Linked DNA regions of Elephas maximus indicus. The protein of the gene in region 4 interacts with the protein of the main gene of each other region in a pairwise test. Links are inferred from orthologs where the notes say so. Each region holds a gene or a part of one and is shown on either strand. Other genes may lie near its edges. The genes, in order: NEU4, NUP54, AP1M2 and AP2B1.

What was found.
Region 1: the proteins of AP2B1 (region 4) and NEU4 interact in binary tests that used the Homo sapiens proteins (3 or more experiments, as listed by UniProt). The two-hybrid records come from large-scale screens. The link is inferred for Elephas maximus indicus from reciprocal best matches to the Homo sapiens genes AP2B1 and NEU4.
Region 2: the proteins of AP2B1 (region 4) and NUP54 interact in binary tests that used the Homo sapiens proteins (3 or more experiments, as listed by UniProt). The two-hybrid records come from large-scale screens. The link is inferred for Elephas maximus indicus from reciprocal best matches to the Homo sapiens genes AP2B1 and NUP54.
Region 3: the proteins of AP2B1 (region 4) and AP1M2 interact in binary tests that used the Homo sapiens proteins (3 or more experiments, as listed by UniProt). The two-hybrid records come from large-scale screens. The link is inferred for Elephas maximus indicus from reciprocal best matches to the Homo sapiens genes AP2B1 and AP1M2.

Annotation. Positions count from the first base shown.
Region 1 is NC_064824.1:143,630,460-143,638,402, reverse strand, and holds the start of NEU4 (sialidase-4), read right to left. Parts: upstream 3,002-7,943; coding exon 2,801-3,001; intron 2,097-2,800; coding exon 1,841-2,096; intron 870-1,840; coding exon 1-869. UniProt on the Homo sapiens protein: Exo-alpha-sialidase that catalyzes the hydrolytic cleavage of the terminal sialic acid (N-acetylneuraminic acid, Neu5Ac) of a glycan moiety in the catabolism of glycolipids, glycoproteins and oligosacharides.
Region 2 is NC_064823.1:81,130,083-81,137,490, reverse strand, and holds the start of NUP54 (nucleoporin p54), read right to left. Parts: upstream 3,004-7,408; 5' UTR 2,942-3,003; coding exon 2,875-2,941; intron 1-2,874. UniProt on the Homo sapiens protein: Component of the nuclear pore complex, a complex required for the trafficking across the nuclear membrane.
Region 3 is NC_064821.1:28,633,423-28,640,323, reverse strand, and holds the start of AP1M2 (AP-1 complex subunit mu-2), read left to right. Parts: upstream 1-3,894; 5' UTR 3,895-3,962; coding exon 3,963-4,004; intron 4,005-6,901. UniProt on the Homo sapiens protein: Subunit of clathrin-associated adaptor protein complex 1 that plays a role in protein sorting in the trans-Golgi network (TGN) and endosomes.
Region 4 is NC_064837.1:30,139,937-30,146,946, reverse strand, and holds the start of AP2B1 (AP-2 complex subunit beta), read right to left. Parts: upstream 3,003-7,010; 5' UTR 2,861-3,002; intron 2,845-2,860; exon of another isoform or gene 2,664-2,844; intron 2,646-2,663; exon of another isoform or gene 2,423-2,645; intron 1-2,422. UniProt on the Homo sapiens protein: Component of the adaptor protein complex 2 (AP-2). Adaptor protein complexes function in protein transport via transport vesicles in different membrane traffic pathways.

The DNA.
Region 1 (7,943 bases), on a different chromosome or scaffold from region 4:
GTCACGCAGGGAGAATAGGCAGAAGGAAATCTCCTCATAAGAGACCCGCACCCCACTCTCGTAGAGGCAGGCAAAGGCCAGGCCCCCCATGTGCCGGCCTGGGAGAGCAGCCAGGTCAGAATAGCCGCTGGGCCCCTCATGAATCACCCAGGGCTCTGTCCAGCTGTGCAGGTCCAGGGGAGCCCTGCTTAGGCGGACACCCATGTGAAGGCGAGCCCGGCGCCCCGTTGGGTGGGAATAGAGCAGCCACGTGGGGCTCGGAGTAGGGGCCTCAGAGGCTGCACTATCCCCGCCAAGCCCAGGCCCTGGGCCAAGCTCCCCAGGGCCATCCCCACAGACCACTACTGCCCCACAGAGGTCTTCGTCACCCTCTTTCAGGGACCCTTGGACTCTGGGACCAGAGCTTGGAGGTTGGGGGTGGCTCTTGGCACCCACCAGCTGGGTGCCTGCCCAAAGCCAGCTGGGGAAGGGGGCTGGAAAGCCCACCACGCTGCCCTGGCAGCCACGGGAGGTCTCGGCTAGTGGGGGCACCAGCTGCCCAGGCAGGAAGGAAGTGCCCTCATCAGCGCTGAGCGCCTGCACACGGCTGCCCAGGGAACTCCGCGCATTGCAGTAAAGCACAGGGCCACCCGGGCCACCCTCCACAGCCGCTAGCTGGCACTCGCCTGAGCGAAGGTTGGGCACGAGGCCCCCATGGCGCCAGCTTTGGCCGAGGTCGTCACTGTAGAAGACGAAGGCATGGGGGGAGGTCCGGCAGATGCGGCCAAAGCATTCACGGCGGTCCACGTGGTAGGTATAGGCTGGCACCAGCAGGCGGCCCGAGCGCAGCTGTACCCCATGGCCAGGACCCACAGCGAACGTGGCCCAGTCTAGGGGGACAGAGAGGGCCAACTGAGGCTGGAGCCCTGGCCACGCCAGCCAGGACGGCGTGTGCGGGGCCTCAGCGAACAGCCGCCCACTGACCACTGCTTCCCTTGGCTCATCCGCTGCCCTGGGCCCTCACTGTTCTTTCCTCACAGGCTGGACACAGCACTCGAGGCCATTAAAAAGACATCTGCCAGAAGCCCCCATCTCAGCAGGATCCCAGGCAGCCCCCTTAGCCAGAGTTCTGGAAAAGCCGCCAGCCCCCAGAGCAAGTGGACAGATGGCCATGCGGGGGCACTGCCCAGTTGCTATGGCAGACAAGGCAGCAAGGGAGGGTGGTGGAAGTGAGGGGACCTTCGGGGTGGGATCTGGGGACAGCCCTCAGGTCAGCCCTCAGGACAGGGTCTGGAGACAGCCAGCACTGGCTGTGTCCCCTGGGAGGGTCCACACAAGTGGGCATTCACTTTTTGGGTTGGCTTTGGTGTGTCATGTCCACGCCCCTCGATGAGGCACCCAAGTCCAGGAAGGCAGTGGGTGGTCAGGCTGGGGGTCAGCAGGAATGGAAGGAAAGCCCGGCTTTGGGGTTGGCCACCTGCCCTGTGATTCGTGCCTGGGCCCTCAAAACAGGGACAAGGAGGGGGAGGAGGAAGAGGACATGGTGAGGAGGCAGGACAGAAGCTGTTATTTGGAAGCCAAGAGGGACCTCAGCATCTACCCTCTCCTGGGCAAAGAAATGAGCCCAGGAAGGGGAGAGATGGCGAGGGTCAGATGAAGAAGGTGGGGCTGAGACCTCAGGGATGTGGGCAGCTGGGCTCACGTCCTCAGGGAGGGGCAGGCCCGCTTTTTCCAGTGGAGGCTGCTGGCCTCTAGTTGCCAGTCCCCCACACCCATCCCCCCACCCCCGCCCTGCCTGTCCTGCCTTCTGCGCCCACCATCCTCCCCCCTTGCCCTCCCTGCTCCCAACCCACCAGCCTACCCTGCTCATCGCTGCCCACGGCCTCCTCGGTGAGGTCCCGGGCACCACCCCAGGTGAGGCCCGCGTCGCGGCTGGTCACGCAGCAGAGGCGGGCGGCATTGCGGCCAGTGGCAATCTGCACAGCCTCAGGCGTGTGGCCGAGCACCGCAATGAAGAAGAGGAAGACAGTCCCCGTGCGTGCCTCATGCACAGGGCAGGGGTTCATGGAACGGTGCTCTTCCAGCGCCGCCGTCCCCAGCACATGTAGGCTGCCCCACTGCAGAGGTGGCCACGGCCAGACTCAGACCTGGGTCTGCCCAGTGGACACTGCCACAGCCTCAGACCCTTTTGCGTCTTTCTCTAAGATGGGATACCACCTGCACTGAGCCTATAACCTCCCTCACCTACAAGGAGTCCCCCTAGCATCCTCCCTCAACTTCCTGGAGCCCCTCACGTGCAGAAACCCTCCTTACCTGCATGGAACCGCTCCTGATCTTCACAGATTCCCCCTCACCTGTACCAAGCCCTTCAGCACCCCTTCACCTGCACGGAGACCCCAGACCTCCCTCACCTGCACAGAGTCCCCCAGCATCTCCCTCACCTGCACAGAGCTCCCCAGGGTCCCCTCACCTGCACAGAGGTCCCCAGCATCCCCCCACCTGCACAGAGCCCCCCAGGCCCCCTCACCTGTGCAGAGCTCCCCAGCATCCCCCTCACCTGCATGAAGCCCCCAGCCCCCCTCACCTTCACGAAGCCCCCAGCATCTCCCTCCACTTGCACAGATCTCCCCAGCATCCCCATCCACCTGCACAGAGCCCCCCAGCCTTCCTCACCTGCACAGGACCCCCCGTCAGTGTCCCCCTCACCTGCACAGACCCCCTCACCCCCTTCACCTGCACAGAGCCTCCCAGCAACTCCCTCAGTGCTTCACAAAGCCCCCAGCATCTCCCTCCACCTGCACAGAGCCCCCAACCCCCTCACCTGGACAGATCCCCCAGCCAGTGTCCCCCTCCGAAGCACCAGGCGGTGGGCATGAGAGTCATCGGGGCTGAGTCGCTGCTCAGCAAAGGCCAGCAAGGTGGGCCCAGAGGGCACGGGGAGCAGCGCAGGCACACGGTACGTCAAGCCGGTCCTTTCCCGCTGGAAGAGCACCGAGCGTGCAGGAATATGTGGGGCTCCCATCTCTGCAGAATGGGCTCAGTCAGTGGGGAGGGGGGCCAGCCCTCCACCCTGTGCCTACCCAGCATCCTTCCTCCCTCCCTCACCCACAGCCACTGAGTCCCCGAGTGTCTGTGGGATTGGCTCTCTCCTCCTCTCAAGGCGGTGTTAGGGTCATCATAGAACCTGCCCAGCAGGAGATGGCCCAAGTGGACATGAGAGCCCAGAGCTCCAGACAAGGAGGGGCTCAGTGACCCCTCCTAAGGCCCCACCACCAGCATGGCAGCCGCAGTGGACAAACAGACCCACAAGACACCAGAGGCACCCACAGAAAGAGAGAAACACTCAGAACTGACACACAGAGGAACACACATGGCGCATGGAAAGAGATGCTTGACACACAGAGAGACACGGACACACATGCACACAGACACAGAGACACACACGTGTGCACATGCTGGCACAGAAATGAGCACACAGACACATGTGCACACAGGGACACACAGCTCTCACTAGAAGAAGGCACCTCCGGCCACAAGGAGGATCTGGAGGGTAGTCGGGGCCAGGGGGTGCTGTGATGTGTGGGGATGGAGACATGAGTGGGGAGGGGGGATGAACGGTATTCCCCACCACTCCTTGGCAAGGATCAAAGCTGCACACACCCCACATTGACAACGACACACAGGAGATCCACCACCCCGCACCCGAGGGAGCCCCACACCTGAGGTCCCCAAGCCAGACAAGACCTCCACCTCATTCCACTCTTAGTCTAGGACCTCCTGCCCCTGGAAGGCAGCTCACAGGTCCATCCCTGCTTCCCACCAAGCCCCAGCAGACCCCCCAGCATGACCCAGATTCACCCTGGCTGGAGACTCCTGCCCACCACCACCACCTCTGGGGCTCTGAGAGCAGTATCTTGTCTCCTGGAAGCCCTGGGCTCTGCAGTCAAAGGGCAATTGTGTCCAAGCTGGACACAGGTGCAGATGCCACACGTCGCCTGGGGCTGCCTGGGCACAAGTGGGACCTTCTCTGCATGCTTGGCTCCCTCCCCAGAGCTGGGCCACCTGCCTGCCTCGAGCCGGGTATCAGCGCAGCCTGCAGAAGCAGGCAGGGAGCCAGGCCACCACAGGCTCAGAGACAGACCAGCTGGTCAGCCTTTCACTGTACGGGGGGAAACTGAGGCCCACCATGAGAACAGGGCTGCAGGCACTCAGAGCATCCTTGCTGAGGCCACGGTTTTCCATGGAGCTCCGGAGGCCCAGGGGAACCTTCCCTGGCTCTGCCACCTCACTTTAAAAGAAGCAGAGTTCCAGGCTTTGCGTGACCAGAACTGTGACTCTTTGCAAAGTGACCCAGGCGTCTATGGCCAAATGCCCATTCACCTTCCCAGGCAGGCCCTCTGCAGGAATGGGGTGGCTTCCCTGGTATGGATGTTCTAGGAGAAAGGAAGAGACCCATGCTGTCCTGGCGCCCGACCCTTGGCTGGGCAGCTGGAGTCATTCTGCAGCTCCTTCCCCCCTCCCCGCCATCCTGCCTGGGCTCCTCTGGATACTCTGGGCCAGCCCCAGCCCCCAGACTCCGCGGCCAGCGCGTCTTGTATTGGATCTTCCAGGGCTTGGACGGCTCAGTTTACTGCAGGACCTCAGGTACAGGGGGGAGTAGGGAGGGGACTCAGCTGCCCTGGCCCCCAGGCTCAGGTGCAGGGGTGAGGAGGGGGGTACTCACCGGCCTCACTGCCCTGGCCCCCAGGCCTGATGCGGGGTGAGGAGAGGGGTACTCACCGGCCTCACTGCCCTGGCCCCCAGGCCCGATGCAGGGAGACCAGGGAAGGGCTTCCTGGCTGTGCAGCTGCTACAGAGCCAGAGGTGGTTTATCTGCGGGAAATATCTGCCTGGCCAGCCCCCCGGGCAGAGCGGACAAGGCCCCACTGTCTGGGTGTCGAGCCGGCAGCTGGCCACATCCAGGGCTGCGTCAAGGCCTTCCTGGTGGGTCTGCAGCTTCAGTATCGTAGAGGGGGCCAGGGGCAGGAGTCCAGAAGGGACAGGGGGGCGTGTCAGGAACAGGTGGCCCAGTGGCAGCCCAGGGATTTGGGGGGGCTCCCCAACAAGTGTTGTGCTGTGGGGAGGGCCACCGTTGACCTTGGCAGGAGCACCATGTCAGCTGTCCCAATTCCACCCAGAGACGCCCTCGCATGAGAGCCAGAGTGGACCACGTAGACTTTGCCTCCCATCCGTGCCTGCTGTGTGGACACCCCCGCCCCTACCCCTCTTCAGCCGAGAAGCCCCCACAGCCTGCCCATTTGTGCTCTGCTGGCCGCAAGTGGGAAGTCTTTCAAGGTCAGCTGATTGAGCACAGAGGTTCCTGTGAGAAGGAAAGGCGGTCTGTACCTTCATTTGGGGACTGAGCCACCTCCCCCACCAGACAGGTGGCAGGTTGGACGACCTCACCTGCAAGGAGCCAGGAGGCGCTTATGTAGAATGGACACGCAGACCCCAGACAGGTGGGGATGTTCCGCCCCGGGTGCCTCTGGGGGACCGGACAGCTGCCAGCCTCGATAGCCTCAGGGATGGCCTGTGGGGTGAAGGGCGACGGGCCATTCACCGTGACCTCGTGTAGGGGACACGCTAACAGCCAGGAAGGAGGTGAGTGACGGAAAGTCCTGCTGCCTGAGGAGTCAGTGCCGGAGGGCAGAGCTTCTGTTGGGGCAATGGCTGCACAACACAGCAAAAATAACTAATGCCACCGAATGTACACTTCGAATCTTTAAATGAAAACAAAACGCCCAAGTTCACGCAGAAACGACTAGAGCAAACGAAGCTTGTGAAGTCAGCCAGTGCCTTGTGTATGCTGAGACGTTCAGTTTGCTCTCTGCTGGGACAGAAATGTGGTCGACAGCCCACTCCATCAAGTAGGAAGGCGAAGCCACAGTGCTGGGTGTGACTCCTCGGGAGGCCCCGTCTGCACCTGTGGACACAGCAGATGCCCGCAGCCCCATCCCCCCGCCCTGCACGCCCAGCGCATGGGGAGGGTTCTTTCCCATGGCCCCTCCTGCCCAGGGCACCTGGATGGTGTCAGGACTGCTGTAGTAAAGCACCACACTCTGGGGCTTAAAGAGAACAGGGATGTACACTGTCACAGCTCTGAGGCCACAAGTCCAGATTCGGGTGTCAGCAGACCCTTCCTAGCCTCCAGCGTCTGGTGGTTCCTTGGCTTACAGATGCTTCACTCCAGTCTGGCCTCCCTCTTCACCTGACCCTCTTCCCTCTGTCTCTCTGCGTCTTCTCTTTTTAAGGGCACCAACTGGATGGGATTAGGATCAATCCTCCTCCAGTGTGGCCTTATGTTAACAGATGACACCCTCGAAGACCTTATTTCCAAACAAGGTCACATTCAAAGAGAGGTTTCAACTTCAGCTTATCTTTTGGGGGACACAAGTCAATCCATCATGGTGGCTGTAGCTTCTTTCCTGTGGTTGCGATTATTTGTGAACAAAGCAAGCCCCCACTTTCAGCCAGCGCTCAGAGCAAGGCCACGGTCCACCCACTGGGTCCATAAACTGCTCCTAGCAGGCGTGCCTGGTGAAGGCGGGGGTGCTGGCCCATCCATCATGTCCTGATCCCGAACGTGGTTTGGGAATCAAGACAACGGGATGGACCAAAACGCTCCTTCAAAGCAGAGTGTTGCAGGCAAATCATGACTTAAGAACTAATTTCCAACAATTCCTTAAAAATACATGAACCTCAAACCTGCTCCCAGAGTAACCGATCAGTTGGAAGGGGTAGGACCATAGGTGTGAGCCAGAGGATTTCTGTGCTGGGAGCGGGGCAGGGAGTGAATGCAATGAAATGAAGGGCATTCTCCTCCAGTCCTAAACACGGGGCTTCAAATGGAAAACAAGCTCTGGAACAGTAAGAAATCGTGTGATTTCACAGCAAATGTGGACACTGAGATGTAAATCCATTTGTCAGCTCAGGCCCTGGGAGACCTTGTGGGATTAGCTCACTGGGGTACTGAGGAGGGGCAGGTGGAGGGCTGACCTCCTCCCCACAGAGAGGAGTTGGCGGGGGTATTGGAAATGTAGGCTGTTCTAAGAAATTCTAAGAAAGTTCGGGCAGAGCCATGGAGTCCCCTGCACCTGGGAACAGCCTGCTGTGGTGTGTGGGCTTGGCGTGGCTGGGAGCTCCAGGGCCAAGGGGCCTCCAGTCCTGGTGGTGGATTCCACCTGGAGACCAAGGGTCAGCGCTGGCTTCGACACTCAAATATCCCAGAAGAGTGTTTCACGGCCGCCCCTCCTGCCTCCCCCAGTCAGACTAAAGAAAACGAAGGTGTCTGAAATTCATGCTTGAACATATTTTATTGGAAACCAGTGCCTCCTGGCCCCCAAGCTGAAAGGCCCCACAGGAGAGCTGGGGTGGGAGGTGGACTCCCTTTCTGGGAGCTTGCTGCAGAAGCTGCCCTGTGAGGGGCACCCGTGAGCCCCTGACTGCACCCCTGCCTTGAGGTGTCTCAGCCCTCTGTGCTCATTGAGGGGAGATGAAGTAGCCCGAGAAGAACCCTAAATCCCAGCGACGCCAGCGGGACAGGCACACTGCCACCCAGCAAAGAGCCCAGAAGGGGCGGCAGCTCAGGACCAGGCTCTGTGCAACCCATCCTTGTCTCTGGGCATCGTCTCGTCCGTCCTTCTCTCTGTGGCCACCCCGAGCCCCAGCCCAGGGAGGGGAGAGGGAAGAAGGATGGACCCACTTTCTAGGGAAGGACTTGGACAGTGATTACACCCACGGCCAGGGCCAGCCGGCCTCCTGGCGGGGGGGGTGGCAGTTTGTCCAGTAAAACCCCCAGGATCTCCTGTTAGAGGAGAGGGAGGGGACCCCAAGGACAGTTAGCACTCTCGGCCAACACAACCAGACTGAGGGAGGGGGCCCCCCTCCCTTTCCCTGTCCCCACAGGGAAGCGGGGCCTCCAAGAC
Region 2 (7,408 bases), on a different chromosome or scaffold from region 4:
GTGGTTAAGAACTTGGTAACCAAAGTCGGCAGTTGAAATCCACCAGCCACTCTTTGGAAACCCTACAGGACAGTTCTACTCTGCCCTATAGGGTCTCTATGAGTCGAAATCAACTCAACGGCAATGGGTTTGGTTTTTGGTTAACTTGAATTGCATATATTTCTGGTACGCAGGACAAAGATGTATCAATACAGTAACATAAATCTCTTTGATAGTAGATCATATAATTCTGATGTGTAAAATTAATCAAAAGTAAACTGCATGTTGTATGCTGCAGTTGTTGTCAGTTGCTGTCGAGTCAATTCCAACTCATAGCAACCCCATGTGTGCAGGGTACAACTGTTCCATAGGGTTTCCAAGGCTGCAGCCTTTTGGAAGCAGATTGCCAGGACTTACTTCTGAGGTGCCTCTGTGTGGGTTTGAACTGCTAACCTTTCTGCTAACAGTCCAGTGCTTAACCATTCGTGCCACCCAGGAACACCTATATTGTATGCAAGCATAGCCAAACACTCTCTTTACTTGTAGGTTCTACTGCAGTACAGCAAACTGTAAATATTTTAATAAAAATCACCTAAAGTACTAAACACTGATCTTAGTCTTTTTCATTACTCCTCACACCCATTTAATAACTACGATATACTCTGAATTGGCTCCACAAAAAAAACTAGTCAATATCTTATCATGCTCCACAATACCAAGAATATTTATTAGTAACAATGACTCTGCAATGATACAAAATAAAAAAAGCAAACAAGAATTTCTATCAGCCCTTTGCTGAAGGCTACGTTAACTAACATAAATGTAGTTAAAACAGTTACATTATCAGAACTCAAAACTTAACAGTGATAACACTAAATAAACAATGAAATCAAACAAATACAAACACGTTTATTATTGCTGAATTATGAGCTGGGTGGCTTTATTTGGAAACAAAATAATGTGTTACCCAGTGCCAATTTTAAGCAAACAAAGAAAAGTAAACATACCAAGACAATAACATGTAATGATGTCAAATATATCTTAGATAATGGATTCTTTTATCTTTAGAATTTTCAAATATTCTTCAAACTGTTTTCAGATGCTAAGGTGATATTTACAGTGCAGTAATAAGTAAATGCTCAAAATACCAGACTTCCCAAATAAGTTTTAGGGAATAAATAATGCTTACCAGATGCATATAATTGGCACGGGCCTAAGCGGCATAATGTAACAGATACAGACACTAAATTCATATACGAGCAGCTGAAAAAGAAGATTTTTCTATAGGGTCATTTTATGTAAAGTACACATAAGCCTATTCTAAATTTATATATATATATCCATTACAGTCAGTGTTTTGCAAAATTTTTAACTAGCTTCGAATAATTCATTTAAATACCAAAATCTTCAAAACTATGACAGAATGCAAAAATGTCTATCCTACCTTTTAGAAATCGATGCTGTCTGACAATAAAGAAAATTGCTCTCTCAGGTCATTTCCCAAAAAACCAGTAAAGAATTGGGGTTCTTTCTACAATTGTGTATTTTATAGAAATCATGTACCCTAATCTGCTGAGTTGACCAAAGAAATACATTATTTACCAGTTAAAAAACAAGAGAGTTACTGCTGTTCGTATAAGACTTGTTTCTCTTGGGAAACACAAGGACGATCAAATAAAATCTCAATGAAAGATGTAGGGAAAATGAAAAATGAGTGCAGGAGTCCAAGAACCCCAAGAAAATGGGCCTGATCAGTGAGGTTACATTTTTGGAAGGGAAAGCTAATAATCTGGAAGATATATTCTATTCAAAATAATATCCCATTCCAAAGTCTTATCATTTGGAAGCTGTATTTTGTTCAATTAAATGCAAATTTAGCAAGGGAACATTATGATTTGCAAGACTTCCGAGAACCACATCTTTTAGGACAGTCAAAACCTGAAACGAATGTTTTTAATTCAACATTGGGAAATGAATTTCCTTTCCTTATTAGACAACTCACTATTCTTTCTCACACTCTAGGAATCCCGAAATATTATTCTTGGACTCCGGCTTCCAACACTCATTACACATACGGCCCGCAGTATCTACCTGCACTCGCCAGACTGTTACCAAAATTGAACGGAGTTGCCGAGGTTGTGGAAACACCGAAATTCCCAATATTAAAGTTCACTGCAGGATTAGCAGTTAATCCGAAACCCCCAAAATTAAACCCACTGGCGGTGGAGTTGGCAGTCTCAAGCCCACCAAATCCTGATAGGCGTGTAGGCAAAGAAACAAAAAATTAAATTAAAAAAGGGGGAGAGGAGAGAAAAAGAAAAGAAAGCAAGATAAGGATTAGAAGAATCAGCAAGAAGTTTTACAGACAAACCTGACTTTCTCCAAACAAGAAAGCAGAATAGGTAGGAACAGGTGAAAGGAGGAGCCAGTAACCAGGGTCCACGGGGCCAGGAGGAAGGGTCCCGCCCCTGCAGGGCGCGGACGGAGCGAGCTGCGGGGCAGCGCCTTGGTCTCCCCAGGCCCTATCCTCCCGCCAGGCGCCTGGGCTGAGGCGGGAGGAGAAGGCGTGTCCCGGGCAAGGGGGTAAGCGAGCCCCTCGAGTGTCCGCGAGGCCGTTTCCCCGGCGGCGGGAAACCAACCCCGGGAAGACAGGGCCCGGCGGGGCCCACGCGTGGCGCGCGAGCTCTGGGTTGAGCCTCTGGCCCCCGAGCCCTCCTCTGGAGCCTTCCTGGCCCGCTCCGCCGCCGCCGCCCGCCCTCTTCCGATGTCCATAAAGTCTCCGCGCCGGCCGGAGATCCCAGAGTCTCCAGGCCGGGGACCGGCGGACTTAGAGGGCACAGGAAGGCCCAGAGGCCGACCCTTCTCCCGGACGGAAGGTCTGGGAGGATCACTCACCCGAGGGGGCCGCGGGGGCTGCAGCGGTGCCAGACGTGCCCGAGGGAGCCCCAAAGTTGAAGGCCATGTCGCGGAAGCAGTGGACCAAGGCGCCGCTCCTGGGACGCTCCGTGTGCTTGGCTTTTCCGTCCGGCAGGGAAACTGCGGCCCCGATAACCCAGTTCCGCTTCCTTTTTGGCCCAGCCTAAACCTAAAACCAAACTCGCTGCCCTTGAGTCAATTCCGACACATAGTGACGCTAGAGGACAGAGTAGAGCTGCCCCACAGGGTTTCCAAGGAGCACCTGGTGGATTCAAACTGAGGACCTTTTGGTTAGTAGCTGTGGCTCTTAACCACTACACCACCAGCGTAGAAGGTGGGAACGTGCCAAGGACCTGCGTAGAGGGTGAAGAGGAAACTCCGTGAGTCCAGCTTGCTTCCTGAGCGTTTTGTGTCATTGCGGGGCGCGGGTAGTCACAACAAAGGTAATACGCTAGGAAGCTTGAGAGGGAATGCTGCCTGAGAGCCCTTCAGATGTGCCTTAAGGACTTATCTTGGAAAGGTGTGCAGGGCCTGAAGTCATTATTGTAGAGGTAGGCAGTAGACACCTTGAATATACATGCCTTGGTGTTATCGTTGAAGATGTAGCCTTTTCGAAGAGCAGTCCTAGGAGGACCCAGGTTGGGGTTTAGGAGGTCCCCCCAACCCCGAGAAATGCTATTTGAACCCAGTCCTGAAAAATGAGTGGGCGAAGTAGAAGTAGGAAAGAGGTGACATGTAGGAAGAACAAAAGATAACAGTAATATTAACTGTAGGGTAATGCTATTCAGCGATATGCATCCCCTCCCTAATGGAGTCAGCTTTGCTCTTCCCTGAAGCATGCTGGGGATGAATTCGGGATGGACCTGGACTAAGGTAAAAGGCCAGGAGTGGCATGACTGGGCCAGCGGCCAAGGCCGAAGAATGCCTTAGCAACAAGAAGGAAAACATCTGGGCCTGGACGCTAAGTCCCTGGGAGCACTGACTGCACAAGGACGTGGTAGAAAACGATGAGACTTTGTCCCAGCTGGAATGGTATATAAGCTTGGGTCCCTTGCTAGGTGGTTGCAGAAAATATTCCATCCAGGCGCCACTGGAGAGAGCAGCTGCTTGCCTGTGTGAGTAAGTTTCCCTGAACATATGAATCTGGAAAGGGCTATGTGTCAGTTCTTCAGATTATCTGCCAGGATGCACAGTGAGGGTCTTTCCTTGCTGGGGCCATCCCCCGACATTAACAAACACTTATCTTGTGTTTCCTATGTGCCAGACACTCTTCTAATCATTTTACATCTTTTTAGTTTACTCCTCAATTACCCTGTGAAGTAAATTACTATTATCACCCCCATTTTATGGAAGAGGAAACAGCCACAAAGGGACACGCTGAATCCAGTCCGTGATGTTAATCAACAAGCTGTACCATGAGCACTGAACAGTGAAGGGTATATAACCTGCCCCTGTGAATGCTAGTAAATTTCTATTAGTCCTTAAACTAATGCAAGCCAGATTTGGTCTTCCCCACATGACCAGAAGGACCAGCTGTGACCACATAACTTCAGTAGAGGATGCAGCAACATGAGGAAAATCATCGCCTGGACCCTATTCTGAAGCCAGAGGTCCGACAAGAGTCACATCACCTGTTTCATGGCCACCTTCTAGAATTTTCCCTCTCTAGTACGCCCGTGCAGCTACCATCTTGCTGCCCAAATCACATATAAGCCCTGCTTCTCCGTAGCTTGGGGAGCTGGATCTAAGGAACTTCCTCTTGGCGCCTTGCTCTGCACATTGCAATAAAGTTACTTTCTCAAAGACCAGTGTGCAGATAATTCGCAAGTCTGAGCACAGCAGACAAGGCCCACCTTCTAGGGTTCAGAAATGGGGAGAATGTCCCCCAGATGAGACAATGAGCTTTCTAAATGCTAAAATCCGTGCCTTCAAATTTTATTTGCGGTAACATTTAATCCTGCTAATAACCCCGTAAGGAAGCTCTGTTATTAACCACATTTTGCAGGTAAAATGAGAGGACCGAGGTTTAGAGTTGCTTAGTGAAAGGAGGTGGAACCAACAGAATGCTATAGACAGAAGCACCATGCATCCCTCTGCAGCAAAGACCTGAAAAACTAAGTAAAGCAGATACAAATGTCAATCTTGGAGCCCCTAAGTACAAAATGAAGGAATAAAGAACTCGATCAAGCACCATATGGAATAAAAAACTGAGAGAGAACAGAATAGCAAGAGCTACGGAGTGGAGGTCCCATACCAGCTAATGTGGCGTGATTGACCATCTTGGGATATAGCTGCCAAAGGACTCAGACAGGAGTATGGGAAAGTAACTCCATGGAGCTCCCAGCAGGAGACAGAGCACCCAATAACCAGGGATACACGCTTTCCCACTCTCCATCCTTCCCAGTGTGGCATTCAGTGCTTTCCATCGGGCCATGGTTTCTCGGCAGGAGAGACACTAGCACACTGCTGCTGGGGTCCGTCCTGCCCCCACCAGCCGGCCCCTTCAGTGCCATTTTTTTTGTTGTTCATTTGTTTGTTTTTTGGTTTGTATTTTTGTTTTTTTATTTTGGGGGGGGCTTTTTTGTTATTTATTTGTTTTTAATATTGTTTGTGGGGGCTTTTTTTTTAATTGCTTTTCTCCCTCCCTTCCTTCCTTTCCTTTCTCCTGCCCAGCTAGCCCTGTGTGCCATCCCCTCCCCTTCTTGATGGGCTGTGGTTTGTCTGCTTTGTTTTTTTTTTCTTTTCTTTTCTTTTCTTCTGTTTCTTCTCTCCCTCCTTTCCTTCCTTTCTTTTTTTCCCACCCACCCAGTCCTGGGCACCACCCAAGCCTCTTCTGGAGGGGCCGTGCTACACAGCTCAGTTGGAGAGTAACTGTGCATGGCCTCCCCAAGTCTGCGCTGCTGTCACCAACTGGCTCCCTAAGCAGAATTTTATTTATCGTTTTGTTTGTTTTCTTTTTCTTTTTTGTTATTCTTTCTTCTCTCTCCCTTCCCTTCTTTTCTCCCATCCACCCAGCCCTGTGCACTACCTTCAACTTCTTGGTGGGCTGTGCTGTACCACTTGGTTGGAGAGCCTCTGGCACACAGCATTCCCACATCTGTGCTGCTCCAACAGGCCAGCTCCCTCAGCATCATATTTTTTATTTTTCTTTATCTTTCCTCTTCTCCTTTTCCTCCTCCCTCCAACCTAGGCCCTGCGTTGCCTATGTCCCTTCCTGAAAGGCCGTGCCGTGCCACCTGGCAAGAGAGAGATCAGCTTGCAGCCACCCCAATTCCGCCCTATCCCCAATGGCCACTGCCCCCACCACCACATTTTTTGGTTGCTGTTGTTTTTATTATTTATTTATTTTATTTGTTTGCTGGTTTCTTATCTTTCTTTCCCCTCTTTCCTTTTTCCACCCACCTAGCCCCATGCGCCACCCACACCTCTTCTTAACAGGCCAAGCCACACTGCTTGGCTAGAGAGCCACCAGTACATGGCCTCACCAGGTCAGCCTCACCCCCACCCACCGAATCCTACTGAACTGCCATTTAATTTTTTTTAACTTAATTTTTTTGCTTGTTTTTTATCTTTGTTTCTCTCTCTTCTTTCTCTTCTTTTACCCACCCACTTAGCTCTGCACATCACATCCTCTCCTTTCCCTCCTGCCTATTTGCACTGTGTGCTGAATGCCATGCCCCTGAGCAGTAATGACTCAGTCTCCCAGACCCTGCCCTGCACTGCTGTCATGTCCCCCCAAAAATATGTGTCAGCTTGGTTAGTCCATGATTCCCAGTATTGTGTGGTTGTCCTCCATTTTGTGATTGTAATTTTATGTTAGAGGATTAGGGTGGGATTGTAATACTACCACCCTTACTCAGGTCACCTCCCTGATCCAATGTAATGGGAGTTTCCCTGGGGTGTGGCCTGCACTAGCTTTTATCTCTCAAGAGATAAAAGGAAAGGGAAGCAAGCAGAGAGTTGAGGACCTCATACCACCAAGAAAGCAGTACTAGGAGCAGAGTGTATCCTTTGGACCTGGGGTCCCTGCACCTGAGAACCTCCTCAGCCAGGGCAAGATTGATGACAAGGAATCTTCCTCCAGAGCCGACAGAGAGAGAAAGCCTTCCCCTGAAGCTGACACCCTGAATTTGGACTTGTAACCTACTAGACTGTGAGAGAATAAATTTTGCTTTGTTAAAACCATTCACTTGTGGTATTTTTGTTATAGCAGCACTAGATAACTAAGACAGCTGCCCTCCAACCTCTTCCCGTCACCCCCAGTTCATGCTGCAAACTACCCATCCCCGCCCCTCCACCTGGCTGGACATGCCCTGCTGCACCATAGCTGAATGACTGGCCCTACCCACCTGGATAAGGTGATGAGAAGTATTGTGCCCACAGGCAAGCAAGCAACAAAACACACCCAGCCCGCCAGCACAGACATAACCAAATAAAACAAAAATTCAGGACAAAACATTCAAATCTACAATCAATAAATGAAGAAAATAATTCCTGAATGTCTCAGAGACAG
Region 3 (6,901 bases), on a different chromosome or scaffold from region 4:
CCTCAGTAAGAGTTAACTTTATATAAGTATGGTATCACACAGCTGTGATGGGGGGAGCAGCGGGCACTGGGAAAGCACAGAGGAAGAACGTGATGGAGACACGGAGTGTAAGACAGAGAGGGCTTCCCAAAGGAGAAGGCCTGAGAGCTGAATGAGAATAGAACCAAGTGGTAAGAGCAAAGAGGGGCAGGCGTTCTGCAGAGAGGGCTCAGGTGCCGGAGGAAAGAGAAAGGCAAAGAGGGGAACTGAAATTATGGAAGTCAGTTGTCTGGGGCAGCGGTTCAGGGTGCCCTGCGGCAGAGGTCAACTGGGGGCAATGTCTGAGGGCAATGGGGAGCCACGGGGGATGTGAGAGTGGGTGAGACCATAGTAGTTGTATTTCAGAGGTTCCTTTAGTGACATAAAAAAGGGATTGAAAGGGGTTCCTAGTGGCAGGGTAGCTGAAAGAAGCCTGGTGCAGGCTGCAAGTGTCTAGAAGCTGGGATGGGCGTGGTTGCCACCAAATAGGCCAGGCTGGGCAGGGCCAGCCAGACAGAGCTGCTCTGTTCTCTGACCCCACTGCAGCTTTTGGGTTCATGAATTTTTCAGCCAAACAGGCATTGAGTTTCAGATTCCAGTGCACTAGGCCCTGGCTTTTGAGTTCTATTTACTACCTGAAAACATCTCACTAAGGGCCCTAGGAGGGGAATCCTTGTGAGGCTCCGGGGTGCCTGAGTTGGAGTGAGAGCCTGTATCGCCCCAGACCACCTCCTGAGCAGGGAGTGGGTAAGAGCATGGAAGGCCCTCCCTCCTTTGGGCAGAGGCAGTATGAATTCCTGGGCTTTGCAGGGCTCGAATCCCAGTTTGGTCACTACTAGCTGGGTGATCTTGTGCAAGTCACTCACCTTCTCTGAGCCTCAGTTTCTCCATCTGTCATATGAACATAATAAACCAAAAAAAACCCACTGCTGTTGAGTCAATTCCAACTCATAGCAATCCTATAGGACAGAGTAGAACTGCCCCATAATGCTCCCAAGGAGTGGCTGGTAGATTTGAACTGCCAACCTTTTGGTTAGCAGCTGAGCTCTTAACCACTGTGCCACCAGGGCTCTGTGGAGATAATAGTGTTCCCTAAATTAAAGAGTTGTCTCAAGGATTCCCACACACCAGATATTTAGGGTAGTGCATATGCCTGCATATGTTGTTAGGTGCTGTCAAGTCGGTTCTGACTCATAGTGATCCAATGTACAATAGAATGAAACACTGCCAGGTCTTGCACCATCCTCACTATCATTGTTAAGTTTGAACCCATTGTTGCAACTATTGTGTCAATCCATCTTGTTGAAGGTCTTCCTCTTCTTCGCTGACCCTCTACTTTACCATACATGATGTCCTTCTCCAGGGACTGATCCCTCCTGATAATTTGTCTAAAGTATGTGAGACAAAGTTTCGCTATAATGAGCACTATATATTGGATACACTGTGGACTGCCAGAAGAATGAACAAATCAGTCTTAGAAGAAATACTACCAGAATGATCCTTAGAAGCAAGGACAGAGAGACTTTGGCTAGCTTACTTTGGACACAATTGTTAGAAAAGGAAATCATGGTTGGTAGAGAAACCAAACCTGTTGCCATTGAGGGTCAGCAAAATGAAGGAAATCCTCAGTGAGATGGACTGACAACAGCAGCAGGGACGGGCTCAAACACAATGATCATGAAGATGGCACAGGACTGGGCAACATTTCATTCTGTTATACACCAGATCACCAAGGGGCTCTCAAACCTGATGACTCAGGCAATGTGTGGTGGAGTCAGGATTCAAACCCCGCACTTGTTCTCTTAACCACCACAATCCTCATTGTTGTCATAATTATCATCATTATAGCTGTCATGATCAAGCATGTTCCATGCACCATGTTGCATATAATAACTCATGCTGTTGTGTGCATGATAACCCAACAAGAAAAGTGCAGTTATGAATCCTTTTCACAGATGTGAAGACTGAGACCTTGGGAGGGAGGCCAGGTACCAGAGGCCACACAGCTGGCCAGTTGCAGAGCCAGAACCTGAGCTCGGGCAGCTGGATCTGGAGTCCATGAGCTTCTCTGGTACACGTGTAACAATAAACAACAGCAAAACCAATACTAGTAACTGCTGTGTGCCCAACTCTGCACTGGGCTCAATCGCTTGGATCATCCCTGCTCATAAAGTTGTGGTGGAAATTCAGGGACACAGTGAAGGGCTGGCAATAATGTTGTCTTACAGTGTTACTATTTACAGGGCCTCGAAGACCTCTGTCAAATGTCAGCTCTGATCTTCCTGACTTATAGCCCCTATTCACTCTCTGTCAGCCCTGCCCCCTAGTACCCTTGTCTTCAAAGGTCTCATCCTCATCAGGAATCATCTTTTTTTTTTTTTTTTTTAATTGTGTGTCTCTCACCCTCCCTAGAACCGGGGTACCAGCCTTGTCTACATCACAATCCACAAGAGCACAGCGGGTGCTCAATAAATATTCATTAGCTGATTGGATCACCATCAACATGACCATCATCACCATAACGAAACCCCTTCCAGATGCCCAGTTTAGCACACAGTAGGTGGTCAGTAAGGATATGCTGGAATAATATTATGACATAATAATTACAGTCATAATAAAACAGGTTGCTGTCCTGTTGATTCTGACTCGTGGTGACTCCATCTGTTACAGAACTGCTCCAGAGGGTACTTTTGGCTGTAATCTCTTTTGAAGCAGGTTGACAGGGCTTTTTTCCATGGCTCCACTGAGTGGGTTCAAATCACCAACCTCTAGGTTAGCAGCCGAGTGCAAACCCTTTGTGCTACCCTGGGAGTTGTAGCCATAATAATAACTATCATTTATCCTTTCCATATTCTATCTACATCTTAGTGTCACATTTTTCTTGTGTGCCATTGAGTCGATTCTGACTTATAGCAATTCCATGTGACAGAGTAGAACTGCCACATGGAGTTTTCTAATCTTTATGGGAGCAGGTCACCAGGTCTTTTCTCCTTCGAAGCCGCTGGTGGGTTCTGACATTTCAGTTAGCAGCCTAGCTTAACCATTGCACCACCAGGGCTCTTTTAGTGTCACAAACCCATTAACCCATTGCCACTGAGTCAATCCCAACTTTCCAACTCATAGTGACACTGTAGGACAGAGTAGAACTGCCCCATAGGGGTTTAGGGTTTCCAAGGCTGTAATCTTTACAGAAGCAGACTGCCACATATTTTTCTCGTGGAGTGGCTGGTTTGTTTGAAGCATCTTTGGGTTAAAAGCCAAGTGCTTTAACCACGGCCTTACCAGGGCTTAATAAATAATTTTGAACAAATGGACAAGAGTTACGTTAGGAAAACACTAAAAGCAGCTACATTTGTCTTGCTCAGAATCCTTCCCAAGGTTCCAGTCACTGAGTGAAAGAATTTATTAGTGAGTAAATATTTGAGTGACAGAATAAACTAATTAGTAAATATTTATTGTATGAATGAATGAATTCAACAAATATTCAACACCTACAAAAATTTTTTTTTTTTTTTTTATACTGTGTACCTTTTTACCAGGTCTTTTACTGGGCGCAGAAGACACAGGCAGGAACAGGACAAAGCCCCGGCCCTATTGGGGCTTGTGTACTTATGGTAGAGACAGAGGAGAATGAATGAATGAATGGAGGGACCGACTGACAGACAGGCGGTCGGTTGGTCCGCTGTCTTTGCCCACCAGCACTCACAGGTGCAAAGAGAAAGTGAGCCGGGGCCTCTGTCTCAACCGAAGGACCGCCCCCTTCCAGCCCTCTCAATAGCTGTCGCGTCTGCCGACCGCGCCGCTCACCTGGCGGCGGCCTCCCCTTTAAGAGGGCTCACCTGGGCGCTCACCTGGGCGTGGGCGCTTCCGCAGGAAGAAGGAAGCGGTGCTGTCTTTACCTTCTGGCTCTCCCTCTTCGCCTCTCAGATCCACCGGCTGCCACTATGTCCGCCTCGGCCGTCTTCATCCTCGACGTCAAGGGCAAGGTGAGGCTAAGCGCAGGTGTAGGGGGCCAGACCGGTGAGGCTAAGCTCCCCCCAACCTAGGGGCGGCACATCCGCGCAAGCTAGCAAGACTCCAGAAAGCTCTTGGGGCGTGGAAACCTACGCCCCCCTCCACTCTAATTCCCGTGTGTCCGGGTTGAATTCTACCTCCACCATTTACTGGCCGTGTGCCTGGGACAACGGGCTTTGCCCCTCGGGTTCTTAATTTCTCCTGCCTTAAAAATGGGGGTAACTAAGGTCCCCACCCAGTCAGAACTCATAAAATTCAAAGTGTGTAAAGCGCTTAGCACATTAGCCCCGATGCAAACATTAGGCGTTCAATAAATTGAAGTTTATATTTCCATCACTGTCATCTTCCACAAAATTAATACCCGGGGAAGGCTGCAGAAGGCCCTAATTCCCCTTTAGAGCTGCTTTGTCCTTTCCTGAAGCTCCCTTATCCACCTTGTCATTCAGCAATAGCAGCAGTAACAATGGTGGTGTGAAAATAATACTGATAATATTAATAGTGAAAGCTATTTAGAGACTTGCTGTGTGCCCTCTCTGTTCTAACCACTTGACTCAACAGCCTAAGTACTATTATTATTGCTGGCTTACTGCTGGCAGGGCAGACAGACATGAACTCTAAGAGGTGCATGGATAGAATCTTCCCTCCCCTCCCCTCCCCTCCTCTCCCCTCCCTTTCCCCTTCCCCTCTCCGTTTTTCATAAGCCCTACCTTACCACTCTGGTGCATATGAAGCCCGGGGTGAGAGCAAGAATTCTGGAGCCAGGCCGCCTTGTTTCGATTCCCAGTTTCCCTGCTTACTATGGACATGGTTCCATAGACTCTTTCATAGCCTCAGCTTCCGCATCTATAAAATGGAGATGATGGCAACACCTCCATCACAGGGTTTGTGGTGAGAACTAAATAACGTGGTAGTTGTTGTGAGGTGCTGTCGAGATGGTTCTGACTCACAGTGACCCCATGTACAACAGAATGAAACACTGCCCAGACCTGCACCATCCTCACAGTTGTTGCTATGTTTGAGCCTATTGTTTGCAGCCACTATGTCAATTCATCTCATGGGGGGTCTTCCTCTGTTTTGCTGACCCTCTACTTTACCAAGCATGATGTCCTTCTCCAGGGACTGGTCCCTCCTGATAACATGTTCAAAGTATGTGAAGGAGCACTCTGGCTGTACTTCTTCCAAGACAGATATTTGTTCGTTCTTCTGGCTTGTTGTTAGGTGCTGTCCAGTCGGTTCCGTTTCATTCTATTGTGCATAGCAACCCTATGCACAATAGAATGAAACACTGCCCTGTCCTGAGCCATCCTTACAATCGTTGTTATGCCTGAGCTCATTGTTGCAGCCACTGTGTCAATCCACCTCATAGAGGGTCTTCCTCTGTTCCTCTGACCCTGTACTCTGCCAAGCATGATGTCCTTCTCCAGGGACTGATCCCTCCTGACAACATGTCCAAAGTATAGAAGATGCAGTCTCGCCATTCTTGCTTCTAAGGGGCATTCTGGTTGCATTTCTTCCAAGACAGATTTGTTCATTCTTTTGGCAGTCCATGGTATATTCAATATTCTTCACCAGCACCACAATTCAAAGGCGTCAATTCTTCTTCAGTCTTCCTTATTCATTGTCCAGCTTTCACATGCATATGATATGATTGAAAATACTATGGCTTGGGTCAGGTGCACCTTAGTCTTCAAGGTGACATCTTTGTTCTTCAACACTTTAAAAAGGTCTTTGCAGCAGGTTTACCCAATGCAACATGTCGTTTGATTTCTTGACTGCTGCTTGCATGGCTGTTGCTTGTGGATCCAAGTAAAAGGAAATCCTTGACAACTTCAATCTTTACTCCGTTTATCATGATGTTGCTCATTGGTCCAGTTGTGAGGATTTTTGTTTTCTTTATGTTGAGGTGTAATCCATACTGAAGGCTGTAGTCTCTGATCTTCATTAGTAAGTGCTTCAAGTCCTCTTCACTTTCAGCAAGCAAGGTTGTGTCATCTGCATATTGCAGGTTATTAATGAGTCTTACTCCAATCCTGATGCCCCGTTCTTCTTCATATAGTCCAGCTTCTTGGATTATTTGCCGAGCATACAGATTGGATAGGTATGGTGAAAGGATACAACCCTGACACACACCTTTCCTGACTTTAAACCACTCAGTATCCCCCTGTTCTGTCTGAACAACTGCCTCTTGATCTATGTACAGGTTCCTCATGAGCACAATTAAGTGATCTGGAATTCCCATTCTTGGCAAGATTATCCATAATTCGTTATGATCCACACAGTCGAATGCCTTTGCGTAGTCGATAAAACACAGGTAAACATCCTTCTGGTATTCTCTGATTTCAGCCAGGATCCATCTGACCCCACTTGTCTGTCAGTTTGTTGTACTGTGGGGGTTTGCACATTGCTGTGATGCTGGGAGCTATGCCACTGGTATTCAGATACCAGCAGGGTCACCCATGAAGGACAGGTTTTAGCTGAGCTTCCAGGCTAAGACTAGGAAGAAGGACCTGGCAGTCTACTTCTGAAAAGCATTAGCCAGTGAAAACCTTATAAATAGCTGCGGAAGATTGTCTGATAGATAGTTCTTCTGACAGCCCATGGTATATTCAATATTCTTCACCAACACCATAATTCAAAGACATCAATTCTTCAGTCTTCCTTATTTATTGTCCAGCTTTCTCACGCATACGAAGTGATTGAAAATATCATGGCTTGGGTCAGGCACACCGTAGTCCTCAAAGTGACATTTTTGCTTTACACTTTAAAAAGGTCTCTTGCAGCAGATTTGCCCAATTCAATACATCATTTGATTTCTTTTTCTTTTTTTAATAAACTTTAGTATTTAACCCAGTTTTAAGTTTACAGAAAA
Region 4 (7,010 bases):
ACAATGGAGTTATGAGCCCAAAAAGAGAGAAAGGGCCACATAAACCAGAGGCTACATCAGCCTGAGACCAGAAGAACTAGATGGTGCCAGGCTATAACCAATGACTGCTCTGACAGAGAACCCCTGAGGGAGCAGGAGAGCAGTGGGATGCAGACCCCAAATTCTTGTAAAAAGACCAGACTTAATGGTCTGACTGAGACTAGAAGGACCCGGTGGTCATGGTCCCCAGACCTTCTGTGAGCCCAAGACAGGAACCGTTCCCAAAGCCAACTCTTCAGACAGGGATTGGGCTGGACAATAGGATAGAAAATGATACTGGTGAAGAGTGAGTTTCTTGGATCAAGTAGACACAAAGGACTATGTTGGCATCTCCTGTCTGGAGGGGAGATGGAAAGGTGGAGGGGGTCAGAAGCTAGCCGAATGGACATGAAAAGAGTGGAGGGAATGAGTGTGCTGTCTCATCAGGGGGAGAGCAATTAGGAATATAGAGCAAGGTGTGTATAAATTTTTGTATGAGAGGCTAACCTGATTTGTAAACTTTCACTTAAAGCACTATAAAAATTAAAAAAAAAAAAATCAAGCTCCTCCTGGGGTTCTTTCAGGAGAGCCCCAGGAATAAGCAAAGCCACCCTGGAGCTCCAACTCACACTACTTTCCTAACTGACCAATCTGACACTTGACTATTCCCAGGGCTCCCGGTATGGCCTAGGGGTACTGTTAAACAACAAAGCTGCCACAGTCAGGGCACACATTCAATCTTACCTGTCCTAGCCCAGAGTGTGATGTCACCACATTTCAGAGAGGGCCTCCCTGCACAGGACTATATATTTAGATTTAACATAACCCAGTTTCTACCAAATATAGGTTGTGAAAAAAACCTCCCCACCTATTTCCCTCCAGTCCTCTAAAAGAAAAAATGAGCAACAAAATAAGATTAATAGCCTCAGTAGAATAAGGCCAGAAAAAAATTAATAGGATCTTAATTTCAAATGGCTCTCTGGGAAATGGTAGTTAAATTAGTGCTGAGGAGGCCACTAAGCTTTTCACAGAAGTTGGGCTTTACAGTTTAGTGCTCCATAGGGAAAAACTGGCTAAAGAGTTAACCAAATTACAAAGCAGAAAGGTCATTCCTGCAACCTTTTATTACAAAGGTGAGAGGTGCTAAGTTCATTTCTAATCAAATACTAATAATGCAAAGATGGTAGCATCTTCAGGTATCATATAAAAAAGATAGCTCCTAAAAATCACAACAGACATTGAAAAGCCAAAATTGTTTGTGATTCCTATTCAAATGTGACAGAACACGAATTAGTTAATATTATACAGTAAGAAATGAGCCCAAAAGTTTTATATCCATCCACTTCTTAACTGAAATACCAATACACTCTGGAAAACTTAAGTCTGGAGTGAAAGAAGAAAGGAGACTAGGTCCTACCCAATTCATTCCGTGTTCAGGCCTGGTTCAAATCTGTGCCTAAAATGTGATATTGCAAAAATATACACCTATTTAAGAAAATAAAAAAAAAGATGGAAGAACTGGGCTTACATGAATCTCTTAATTCACAGTCAGAATGTTAGCTTTATATTAATTTTACCACCTAACTTTCAGTGAGGCTGTTTGCAGAACACACTATCCTTTCTGCTTCCTTGGGAGTTTCAACTGTTAAGACACCTACAAACAGTACTCACCTTACCACCACATTTAGTCATCACTGGAATGTGTTACACGTTTTCTTACACAGCTGCATCTCCTTCACCTACTGCTTTCTATTATTACTTTGTAAGTGTACCCCGAGGCTAAGCAATTGCAGAACACAAGATAATAATTTAAATTTAGACCACCTTCTTTCTCAGTCATTCTGCCTTTTTTGAACTTGCTACGTCTTTTTTTTTTTTAAATCATAACATTTATGGTAACAGTATTCTGCATTTAAAAAATTTTTTTTAAAGTCAAAATTTAATGAAGCATCCGCACGGAACCAGGTGAGTTCAACAAAAGCCTGCTCCAAGATATAAGATTACCCTGTAAACAAATAACCAAAAAACCCACTGCTGTAAACAAATAGCATGCATAAATTCTTTGGATTCAAAGAATGTGGAAATAACAGGAAGTTCTAGTTTCTTCACTACTACCTTAACCTACCAACATTCCTAAACCAGATCATTCCTGCTAAGCCCAGAAAGGAAAAAGAAAAAAAACCCAAAACCATGCTGCTGTAAGATTAACCCCCACTTGCTTCCTCCTCTCTCACAGCTGGTCAAACTGCTGGAGGTTTCTTTTTCTTCCTCCCAAGCGTAAGGAATTCCTCTTCTTTCCCCAGGTGGTTAAGACTCTAGGGATAGGTTCCTCCATTGCAAGGCGGGGAGAAGTGTCTTACTCTCAAAAAAATCCTGGAGGGGAGGCGAAAAAGTCGGGCCTTACCGACAAGCAAAGCTTTGGGGGAATCCTCCTCCTTGGGGCTCAGTGGACACGTCTCAGCCTCTCCGGGAAGGACGCCAGGCGGGGAAGAAGGAAGGTTCTCCCCTCGGCCTCCCGTCTCCAACGGCCACACCCCTGGCCTTCGGCCCTCCTAACTCCCGGACTAGCCATCAAGGCAGCTACAGAACGTACGTCGCCACGGCACCCCGCATCTGCCAGCGGCCACGCCCGCCAATTCCCTCACCTCACCAAGCCAGCGCGGAGGAGTCTCTTTCGCCAACCCTCTTCCTCACAACGGTCACACACGACGGCTCCCTCGCCCTCAACAATCAAACAATCAAGTTTCTAGGATTTCGACCCTTCCGTCTCCGACCCGGGCAGGGGTTTTCCTCCCTCCCTTTAATGAGGGACACGCCCCAAAGTCGGCCAGCTCGAACTCACCGGAGGCAAGGGCGGGGGAGGCGGCAGCAGCCAGAGAGCGCGGCCTCGGTGGTGGTGTAATGGTTTCTTGCCCGTCACGATTCCTTCTGCAGGTCTAAGCCACTGCGCAAAACCCACTTTGCCAGGGACAAAGATGGGGGACAGGAAACGTGACGTAAGAGGACCTAGTCGCGAGACGTCATCGGCGTGCGCCGGAGAATCAGAAAGGCTGTGACCTCTGTCGTCTTGGCGACAGAATGATTTGCTTGGTCTAGAAGAGGTCTTGAGACCTGGGACCCGGAGGCTGTTTAGTGGCTATCTGAAGGGATATATTGAACAAACTGACATTCTCTGGATTTATTTCCTCGCACAGGAGTTCTCTGAAAAGTTTACATATAGAGCAGGTGAAATATCATGTTCCTTTCTGAAAACAAAACAAAATCAGCAAATTCACGTGTTGGGTCCAGCCAAGGATTATACACAGGCAGTGGGACGAGAGGAGAGCGATGCAAGAAGAGATTGAGTCGCCATTAGACATGAGTTCGAATTCCAGCCCTGAGGATGACTGGGAAAGTTACTTAACTTCACCGCAGTCTTAATTTTCTTTTCTCTGGGTTGTAAACCTTAAATGAGATAAAGTAGGTAAAGCGCCTATCATGTAATACATGTGCTTTTCACAAAAGTAAGTTCCCTTTCACCTTTTCAGAAACAAAGGCCTAGATTCCAGGATCCAGAACTAGAGAACAAGGTTAATCAGAGTAAGTAATAGGGATGGGTGTGGGAGTGGATCCTTTTTCCCTCACATTTTTACCTATTAAATTTGTGAGAGTGGAAAAGTATATGTTGTTGTTAGGTGCCCTGGAGTTGATTTCGACTCATAACAACCCCTTGTACAACGGGAGGAAACACTGTCCGGTCCTGTGCCATCCTCACAATCATTGCTGTTTGAGCCCATTGTTGCAGCCACTGTGTCAATCCATCCCCTTGTGGGTCTTCCTCTTTTTTGCTGACTCTCTACCTTACCAAGCATGATGTCCTTCTCCAGGGGTTGGTTCCTCCAGATAACATGTCCAAAGTATGTACGACGAAGTTTTGCTATCCTGTCTTCTAAGGAGCACTCAGACTGTAGTTCTTCCAAGACAGACTTGTTTGTTCTTCTGGCAGTCCATGGTATATTAAATACTCTTCATCAACACCAAATTCAAAGGCATCAATTCTTCTGTCTTCTATACTCACTGTCTAGCTTCCACATGCATATGAGGCAATTGAAAATACCCTGGTGTGGGTCAGGCACACCGTAGTCCTCACAGTGACATCTTTGCTTTTTAACACCTTAAAGATGTCTTTTGCAGCAGATTTGCCCAATACACTATGTCTTTGATTTCTTGACTGCTGCTTTCATGGGCGTGGATTGTGGATCTCAGTAAAATGAAATCCTTGACAGGTGAAGTATTTTCTCCATTTATCATGCTGTTGCTAGTTGGTTCAGTCGTGAGGATTTTACAGTCCAGAAAATCCTATGAGCAATTCTACTCTGTCACAGGGTCGCTATAAGTCAAAATCAACTCTGTGGTACCTAACAATGACAACAATCTTTATGGGAGCAGATCCTCAGGTCTTTCTCCAGCTGAGCAGCTGAGTGGGTTCAAACCACCTACCTATTGGTTGGCAGCCAAACACTTAACTGTTACGCTACCTGAAAAGTGTGTAAGCATCTTAAAATTTCATTCTTAAGTAATCAGAAGTATCTAAAAGGTTTGTAAAACATAGTCGTATATTATTATTGCCCTTATTATTGAAATAGGTGAAAATTGGAAACCTAATTTTAACACAAGAGGGAACATAAACATTTATGATAAATCAAATAGCTGCATAATGTTGTAGAATATTTTATGTCACAAGAAAATTCACGATCATGTCAAGAGAAAAAAAAACAAGATACCAAATAATATATACAGTGTGATTGCATATGTATTTTTTAAAAAGGCTAAAAATATTCAGCAGAATGTTGAGTGGTTATTGCTGGATGGTTAGAATTTTAATTTTCTTCCTAATTTTAGAAGCATTCTACGCTGAACATGTATTTATTTCTATGATTGGAAAATACTTTTTAAAATCATATTTTTGAAGACTATATAATGGAGTCCCCTGAGTAGCTCAAATGGTTAAGTGTTTTACTACTAACTAGATATTGGTGGTTTGAATCCACCCAGAGGCACCTCAGAAGGACTGGCGATCTGCTCCAAAAAGGTCACAGCCTTGAAAACCCAATGGATTCAAGCTCTGCTCTGCAACACATGGGGTCACCATGAGGCAAAATTGACTCAGTGGTAACTGGTTTGGTTGTATTTAATGACAAGGGAAAATACTTTGAGATGATGTTAAGGAAAACATATGGCTGAATGTAACCAAAACCTGGAAGACAGTTAAGGTACCAGCCTGGATGAAAGTTCTGAGCAACTAATAGTCTTTTGTTATCAGGAGGGATCAGTCCCTAGGGAAGGACATCATGCTTGGTAAAGTAGAGGGTCAGTGAAAATGAGGAGGACCCTCAAGGAGATGGAATGACATAGTGGCTACAACAGTGGACGCAAACATAGCAACAACTGTGAGGATGGCACAGGACCAGGCAGTGTTTCTCTGTGTTGTACATAGGGTGCTGAGTCAGAATTAACTCACTGGCACGGAACAACCACCACCATGTCATATGTATACATATATGTGTGTGTATATATATATAGGAGAAACCCTGGTGGCATAGTGGTTAAGTGCTACGGCTCCTAACCAAAGGGTCGGCAGTTCGAATCCGCCAGGCGCTCCTTGGAAACTCTATGGGGCAGTTCCACTCCGTCCTATAGGGTCGCTATGAGTCGGAATCGACGGCACTGCGTTGGAGATTATATATACGTATATATGAGCCCTGGTGGCGAAGTGCTTAAGCACTCAGCTTCTAACCAAAAGGCAGTTGGAACCCATCAGCTGCTCTGCGTAGAAAGACGCAGCAGTCTGCTTCCATAAAGATTTACAGCCTTGGAAATCCTATGTGACAGTTCTATCCTGTCCTATAGGGTTACTATGAGTCCCAATCGATTGACCCGCAATGGGTTAATCTTTTTAATTGGCAGCAATAGAGCTAAAGGCTTCTATTTTCTGCTACTCAAAACCAAACCCACTGCGGTTAACTTGATTCCAACTTATAGCGACCATATAGGGAAAAGTAGTTCTATTTTGTCCTATATGGTCTCTATAAGGAAACCCTGGTGGCGTAGTGGTTAAGTGCTACAGCTGCTAACCAAAGGGTTGGCAGTTCGAATCCACCAGGCGCTCCTTGGAAACTCTATGGGGCAATTCTTCTATGGGGTAGTTCTACTCTGACCTATAGTGTCGCCGAGTCGGAAGACTCAACGGCACTGGGTTTGGTTTTTGGTTGCTCTCTATAAGGGTTTCCAAGGTTGTAAATCTTTAAGGAAACACTTTTTCCCGCGTAGGGACTGATGGATTCGAACCGCCGACCCAGCGCTTTCCCCGCTGCGCCACCAGGCCTCCTTATCTCTTGCTGGGTCACTTCGAATCCTTTCCAGAAAGCGGTCAAATAAAATTAACGATCACCAATTCCTGCCTTGGGCACACGAGAAAACCCTCCCATCTCCCGATTTCTTTGTCCCTCGGCCTCTAGCACCATCGATCCTGGGAACACAGGACTCAGTACCCAGCCCAAATTATGTCCGGGGGCGTCAGGGCTCGGAGCACCGCAAACACCTCCTCAAAAAAACTTCAAAAAGAGATGATCAGATCTGTGGCTTTCACCTGTATAGACTCAGAAAAAGTAAAACAAACAGAGAATTCGTCGCCAAAACTATCCCATAGGAGACATTTTTAATTTTAGCGGGGGCGGAAGCGGAAGGGTCATAGAGTTCTCTACTTCCGGCTTCGGCGCCGCGTTCCGGACTAGAGCCCCTCTCCTCCTGCCACTTCCCTGAGGCCGCGGAGCCTTCTATTTCCGGTTACCGCTTCTGTCATAAAGCCGAGACCTCCCCGCGAACGTGGCGTTGTGGGTCCTTCGCGCCTCGCCTGTGGTCAGGTAGCAAGGACGGGCGCGGGCGGGGATACTTTACAGCCCAAACTGGACACAGTCTTCGCGTACCGGACCCGTGTTGGCACCCCGATCCCT